Linked DNA regions of Canis lupus familiaris. The protein of the gene in region 1 binds, or shares a complex with, the protein of each later gene. Links are inferred from orthologs where the notes say so. Each region holds a gene or a part of one and is shown in the gene's direction. Other genes may lie near its edges.

Evidence for each region. Proteins that work in one complex are often made in the same cells at the same time.
Region 2: EIF3J (region 1) and EIF3M share a complex: the UniProt entries of both Homo sapiens proteins name them as parts of the eukaryotic translation initiation factor 3 (eIF-3) complex. The link is inferred for Canis lupus familiaris from reciprocal best matches to the Homo sapiens genes EIF3J and EIF3M.

What each region holds. Positions count from the first base shown.
Region 1 is NC_049251.1:11,510,406-11,513,988, forward strand, and holds part of EIF3J (eukaryotic translation initiation factor 3 subunit J), read left to right. Parts: intron 1-2,477; coding exon 2,478-2,592; intron 2,593-3,583. UniProt on the Homo sapiens protein: Component of the eukaryotic translation initiation factor 3 (eIF-3) complex, which is required for several steps in the initiation of protein synthesis.
Region 2 is NC_049239.1:35,364,077-35,368,414, reverse strand, and holds the start of EIF3M (eukaryotic translation initiation factor 3 subunit M), read left to right. Parts: upstream 1-1,481; 5' UTR 1,482-1,597; coding exon 1,598-1,639; intron 1,640-1,829; exon of another isoform or gene 1,830-2,012; intron 2,013-4,307; coding exon 4,308-4,338. UniProt on the Homo sapiens protein: Component of the eukaryotic translation initiation factor 3 (eIF-3) complex, which is required for several steps in the initiation of protein synthesis.

The sequences.
Region 1 (3,583 bases):
ACAGAGAGACACACACACAGGCAGAGGGAGAAGCAGGCTCCCTGTGGGGAGCCCGATGCGGACCTTGGTCCCAGGACTCCAGGATCATGCCCTGAGCCGAAGGCAGATGCTCAACCACTGAGCCACCCAGGCATCCCATGTGGGTCATTTCTAATGGGTGTAGTCATATATGCAGGATAAATTCCCAGGCGAGATATTGCTGGATGAAAAGGCAAATCATATTTGTGGTCTTGATAAATGTTCACAAAATGCCCTCTGTATGGGGTTGTAACCAGTTTGCATTTGCCAACAATGTATGAAAGTGCCCGTTTCCTCCAGTCGGGAACATTTTAGATACTTTTTAATAATTTATATTTGTGTATCTAAAAATAGCTACATGTGTTTCTTTTTTTTTAATTTTTTTTTTTCATTTATTTATGATAGTCACAGAGAGAGAGAGAGAGAGAGGCAGAGACACAGGCAGAGGGAGAAGCAGGCTCCATGCACCGGGAGCCCGATGTGGGATTCAATCCCGGGTCTCCAGGATTGCGCCCTGGGCCAAAGGCAGGCGCCAAACCGCTGCGCCACCCAGGGATCCCTACATGTGTGTTTCTATGATCAGGACAAGCAATAGGATCTTATAGCTCAGTCTAAGAAGCCATCTTGATTAGATTTTTCTTGGTCATTGAAGTTGAAATTTATACTGCTTTTGTTGTGTCTTGGTATTAGTCTCCAGTGTAAAGAAACCTTAGTTTGATAGTGTATTCAGTATATTCACTTTTGATGCAGGAGATACTTCATGATGTCCAGATCTGCTAAGATGGTTAAGTCAAGATATTTCCCTTTTTCAAGAAAGTATTCTGATATTTCTTTAACTTGGCATAATGACGTTTCTCATTTCATCTTCTCCATGAGAAACAGAATGCTATGTATTACAGAACTAGACTTCTGAATTAGAATTTGCAAACTGCATAGACATGGATGATCACAAATGGCACAAGCTTCCTTTACTTTTTTCCCCACTTCAGTAAATACTGTCACAGACTTTCCCTTATAGTAAAATAATGCGTTTGTTATAGGAAATATCACAGTATAAAGATGTTAACAGTCATCTGAGAGGAGTAGGACTGGGAAATAAGTGACAACTTCCATGGTATGTGTTTAAATTTGTTAACAAATAACAATGTGTTACTTTTGTAATAGTAACAAATATAAAAAGATAAGTTCTTTTTATGATTCTTTGGAGAAAGACATTTTTTTTATGTCTACATAGTATAGCTGACTTTTGAACAATATTGAGGGTTAAGGTGCTGACTCCTTGCACAGTCAAAAAAATCCACATACAAATTTGACTCCCCCGAAACTTAACTACTGATAGCGTACTCTTTTTTTAAAATTTTATTTATTTATTCCTGAGAAAGAGAGAGAGAGGCAGAGACACAGGGAGGGACAGGCTCTATGCAGGGAGCCTGATGTGGGACTCGATCCCTGGTCTCCAGGATCAGGCCCTGGACTGAAGCGGCGCTAAACCACTGAGCCACCTGGGGTGCATATGATAGTGTATTCTTGATCAGAAGCCTTACTGCTAACATATAAATAGTCAACACATAATTTTGTAGTTGTATTATATACTGTATTCTTCCAATAAAGTAAAAAAGAGGGGGAAAATGTTATTAAATCATAAAGATGGGGAGCCTGGGTGGTACAGCTGGTTAAATGTTGGACTGGACTCTTGGTTTCAGCTCAGGTATGATCTCAGGATCATGAGATCCAGCCGCGTGCTGGGCTCCATGCTGAGTGCGGAGTGTACTTCAGATCTATCTCCCTTTCTCCCTCCTGCTTATTATTTCTTTCAAATAAATCTTATTGAAAAAAAAATCTGTGAATAAGTAGACCCATGTAGTTCAAACTTATGTTATTTGAGGATCATCTGTGTTGTCATATTTAACCATTCTGTTGAAATTTGGGTTGTCTCTAAATGTATTTGAAATTATAAGTAATACTCCATTGGACACCCTTGTGGCTAAATGTTTGTATGCATCTTTGGTTTCTTATGGTAAATAACTAGAAGTGGAATTCTTTGATTCCATATAAAAGTATTTTAAGACTCATACATCTTACTAAGTTGCCCTAGAAAGGTTATTTCAAAATATAGTCTTTAGTAGCAGATATGAGTGTACAGGTTTTCCCTTTTCTATAATGTCAGTTCCATCTTTTATTTTATTTTTTATTTTTTAAAGTTTATTTATTCATGAGAGACACAGAGAGAGAGGCAGAGACACAGGCAGAGGGAGAAGCAGGCTCCTTGCAGGGAGCCCGATATGGGACTCGATCCCAGAACCCTGGGATCACGCCCTGATCCAAAGGCAGACACTCAACCACTGACCCATCCAGGCGTCCCTATTTCTATATGTTTAATAAAAATATTAGCAATACAAAAATGTACTGGTCCATCACAATGCCAGATGTTTTAAAACTTCCTTTTTGTCTCATTTTAGTTAGAAGAACCTGAAGAACCTAAAGTGCTAACACCAGAAGAACTATTAGCAGATAAACTGAGGCTAAAGAAATTACAGGAAGAGTCAGACCTTGAATTAGCAAAAGAAACTTTTGGTAAGTGGGCGGGGTTGAGAAGGTGATTGCAGTGAAATATTGAAGTTCCAGGTGAATATGTTACTAGTTGTGAAAGTTTAGAAGACACTTCCTTTTTTGAAATAATACAGTACTGGCTTACTTAGATACTAGAAAGGAGTTTTTAATATTTATATTTGAGATTTCATTGCTTAGAGTGAAAAACGTGCTTAGGGTTTTGAATAATTAGGAGTATCAAGTAAAAAATTATTAAGATAAGTCATTGGACCCAAAATAAGTATACTGCTGCTTTAAATACATTTATCAGCTGGATGAATTGGATGAAATGTGAGACCTGTAGCTTTGAGGTTTAAATATTAGACTGACTTATAAGGCTGTGCCTTTGCTCAGGGTTATTTCTTTGTGACTCTTTTTGGCCTTCTCCATCCCCTGTCATTGGAGGGCTTCTATTTCTATGTGCCATCCCTGCAGCTGTGGTTGGTACGTGATATAAAAGACATGTTCAGGGTCCTATAGATAGGTAAGTTCAGAGTGTTCCAGGGGTAAAGGGTAAATAAAGTAAGAAACATGACCAGAGGAATAGTTTAAAGCTCTCACTTTGTTTAAGCTCATTGTTGTCATTACCTGTTGAGTACTTATCAGAGTAGAAGATCATGTTGAAAGTTTTTTTTTTTTTTTTTTTTTTTTCGGATCATGTTGAAAGTTAAGTAACTTTGAAATTGAAACCTAGAACTAAGAAGGATCTAGGTTATCTTGACTTTCCCCCCCCATCCTTCCTTTTTTTTTTTTTTTAATTTAAATTTTTCTAAAATTCAATTTGCCAACATACAGTATAACACCCAGTGCTCATCCCGTCGAGGCCATCCTTCTTTTTTTAAAATGGATCAAGCGGGCCATAATGATCATTCTCCCTTCTGTGGAAGGTGTGATTTTTCTCTCTGTACGAGTTGCTAGTAATCTAGAGTTGCTGTGATTCTCCTGTGCACTGGTGTGTGCTTGGCATGTCTTAACT
Region 2 (4,338 bases), on another chromosome or scaffold:
CTCCACCACCTTCTCTCACTCTGCCTTCTGTAATAACTTCCGAGCTGGTGTCACTACTTTGACTAGGGCCCAAATTACCTCAAATTGCAATACCCCTGCCAGGGTGATCCTTTGCCAAAAAAAGTTAAGTTTGATCTCTTCACTCTTCTGCTCAAAACATGTCAGAGACTTCCCAATTCATTAGCCGACACAGCCAAAATCCTCGTTTCGGCCTAGGAGACCATGATCTGGCTGGCCATGGCTATTTCATTTTTTTGCTATTCTCTTACTTAGATCCAGCCCACAGGCCTGCTTGCCCCTACCTTGCATCCCTTCCTTGCTGTTCTTAGGATGAAACACTTTCCCACAGGTTTCTTAATTCATACTTTCCTCAATATGAATTGAGCAATTTTTTTCTCTTAAGATTTTATTTACTTATTCATGAGAGACACCACAGAGAGAGGCACAGACACAGGCAGAGGGAGAAGCAACAAGCTCCCTGCAGGGAGGCCCAAAGCAGGACTCAATCCCAGGACCCAGGGATCACGCCCTGAGCCACCCAGACGCCCGAATGGAGCAATTTTCTTCCATCATCTTATGCACACAAACTTATACGCTCTCTGGTTTTCTTTCTTTTTTTTCTAACCCCCTTCCTCTTAGGCTTTTATCTAGTTGGCAGTGCTCACATTTTTTAAGTGCTTTATCTGCTAAATTACTTAACCTCACAGCAACACCGAGGTAAGTACTTAATTATTCTTATTTTTCCAAGAGGAGGCTGAAACACGGATGTTAAGCCATCGCCCTACACCGCACGCCCATCAAAAGGTGCAGGGCGGGGATTCCATCCCTAGGAATTCTAATCCTGAGGCCAGGCTGTCAAAGTCGATGCCCAACAAGGGCTGCCTTTCTCATTACTTGGAGATGTTGGTGTTCCGTGCGCTCGCTGGAATGCAAACTGCAATCCCGAGCTTCTAGTGGAAACTACGGTTATCCCCGGCGCACAGCAAGTCCCCCAATAAACGCGGAAAAATAGGATCAATTTTAGCTCATTAAAAAAATCGTCGAGCTCAAAAAAAAAAAAAAAAAAAAAAAGTACCCCCTGAAGGCTGTTTTTGCACGGTCCAGAGCCAAGGCTCGGTGGCCGGGGGCAGCAACGGAGGCACCAGGCAGCGTGGCCTGGACTGGCTGGCGGGGGCTGCGGGGGTTGCGGGGGCGTGGCTGCAAAGGAACAACTATTTTGAGCACAACTGTTGACCCCGCAAGCTACAGATTTGCGCGGGGAGCTGAGCTAACTGAAGCACAAGACGGGAGCTCAGCGAAGGACGGCAGGCGACACCGTTCCGGACGATGGAAGCGACAGGCGGAGCCAAGACCCGGCGCGGTCGAGGGCGCCCGTGAGGCCCGCCCACGCACGTGCGCCCCGCCCCCAGCGCGAGGTGGGATTGGCCCCCCTGGTCCCGCCCATCTCGGTGGCCACGCCCCGCAAGACGGGCGCGGGGTAACCCGGAAGCGGTAGTGAGGCCGCCCCCCTCCCCCCCGCCCACGCGCGCTGCTGCCGCTCTCTTTCCGGTCGGCGTGGTTTTGCGAGCGGAGCGGTCGCCGCGCCCGGGTCTTCGCCATGAGCGTCCCGGCCTTCATCGACATCAGCGAGGAAGATCAGGTGGGCTCCCGGGCCGCGCGTGCCTCCGGCGGGGGGTGCGGTTAGGGGAGTCTCGAGGCTGTGAGCGGCCGAGCCTGGACCCCGCGAGCCCGCTCCGGGGCTGAGAGGCGCAGCTCACGCCGCCCTCGCGAGAGTAGGGAGGAGGCCGCGAGGCGAGGCGCTAAGGCCTGGCCTGGAGCCGCGTTAGCTCTCGGAGCGTGGGCTCGGGCGCCGGGCCCGCCGAGGTTTCGCGGCCGGCTTCCTGGTTGGCGTCGCTCTTCCAGGCCGTGTCACTCCTGGCGACACTACTTTCTGACTGACTGGGGATGGTGTCTGCTTCCGTCTCCCCAGTGCAGCCACATCCGGAGTGGGAGGTGGCGAATCTCCAGACGACGTAAGCAGTCCCAGGGAAAAATGATTTCGTATGGAAGACGAAGTGGTTTTATTATATGATCCCACAGGCAGGGGTGACCCCCTTTTAAACGAACGAAGGCCCTAGAGTGAGGGTTCTGAAACCTGAAAAACAGAACGTCAGTTTCATCCTCATGCTTTGAGGCATACTCATGTGGTGAACCATCCTAGTATTTTTTTTTTTTTTGCAACTCCAACTAACATAAAAATTTGGTTTCCATAGAAGAAAACACCATTACTATTCGAAGATAACTCTTAGAATTACAGATGTTGATTTTTTTTTTTTTTACCCCCCATGGTAGAAGGGCAGATCCTCAGCCCTGAAGAGTAGAGGAAGAAGGGGAAATGAAAGGGTGGGGGAGGGGATTAGGGGAGGAGATAAGGCTAGGAAAGGAGTTGAGCTCATTGGAAAGGAAAATGTGGAAGACCAGGGAAAAAAGCATATATGGTTATTAATGGAATCATGTTATCAACAAATTGGCTATTAGATTGCCTCAAAAAAGTAATTGATTTATTTTTTAAAAATATTTATTCATGATAGAGAGGCAGAGACACAGGCAGAGGGAGAAGCAGGCTCCATGCAGGGAGCCCAAGGTGGGACCCGAGCCCGGGACCTCAGGATCACTCCCTGGGCCAAAGGCAGGCACCAAACCGCTGAGCCACCCAGTGATCCCCTCAAAAGTATTTGATTTAACATAAAGAAAGAACTTGTAGATGTAGGATGTTCTTGTCGTTGGCCTTATTTTAGTGTCATTTCTAGTTAGGTTATGCTCCTCTTGTAATATATCAGTTTGACACCAGCCATTCCTTTCAGGTGGATACGTGACTGCTTCAAAGTTTAACTTTGGTGAAATTCTGTGTTTGATTAGAGTAGGAAATGGGAGTTCAGAATTTTGTCTTTTCCTTTACTTGTCCTACTCCCACAACCACTTGTAGCCAGTGAAGCTGACCGATACAAACAAACTGTTGATTTAATGGTTTTTTTTTTTTAAGATTTTATTTATTTATTCATGAGAGGGGGAGAGAGAGAGGCAGAGACACAGGCAGAGGGAGAAGCAGGCTCCATGCAGGGAGCCCGATGTGGGACTTGATCCCGGGACTCTAGGATCACACCCTGGGCTGAAGGCAGCGCTAAACCACTGAGCCACCTGGGCTGCCCCGATTTAATGGTTCTTAGAAAAAGTTTGCTTTGTATCTACAAAGCAGAAGCTGAACAAATGCTTTTTTGGACCATATTATGTTTCCTGCATAGAAAAACATGTTCCCAGCAGTGTTTTTATGTTCTGACATGGTGACACTTGTTTCATGAAATCTTGTTTGTAATGCAACTCATAGGTGAAGTTATCTGCAAGGATAGCGCCATCAGGGCTACAGATTTAATGTACTTCTTGTAGGTAGCCAAACGTGTTTGTGGGTTTAGAAAATGTCATACTTGTGCATTTACTAATGGTATCCTTTCATCTCCCTGCTTAAGTTTTTCATATTACTATCTTAAATACCATCTACATTCATGTTTGGCTGCCATAAATACCAAGCCCTCAAAAGAGCACCTTACTAAATATATATATATGCATTAGACTAGAAAATGTCTGAATACCTATGTTCAGACCACAATACCTGTGCTACTGTAGTTATGTTTTTTTAGGTCCAAGGGTGCTTTCTGATCCAGATAGGTATTCTAAAAGACTAATTGCCAAGTAAATCCAATTTGAAAAGTATTGTATTCAAGACAACATTCAAAGGCATTTTTTTTTATCTTTGTGTCCTCCCAAAATGCTTGTCTCAGATAGATTCTCAAACATTTTATTAACAAATAATTACCTTCTTGCCAAGGTAGTAGCAAATGTCTGTAGCTTTTTTAAGTAGCTCTATTATGTACACTTGAGAGCAAAAATATTTCATTTCTTTAAAACCAGTTGAATTTGCTAGGTCAGATTAATTTTCCAGCATACACAGCTCCCTCAGAAACGCTTTGGGATATATTAGAAGCTTTTGCTATGTACTGGAAGTTCAGCAGCATATAGGTGATATGAGAGAAATTCTAAAGGTGATCCATGTGGGCCATAGTGGGTTTCTGTAGTCACTTGGTCTTGTAGAGGAAAACCTGTGGCTTCTGTGGGGTGGTGATGGGGACTCAGGAGGAGAGGTACTTCAGCATGATAATTTAAAGTTGTTGTTAAGTGAAGTATTCTTATTTTTTAAAAAACAATGGTTTGAGATCTTGAATTTTGGCATTGTCCATTTTATAGATGTATAGCAATCTTATTTGATTCAACAGGCTGCTGAGCTTCGAGCTTATCTGAAATCTA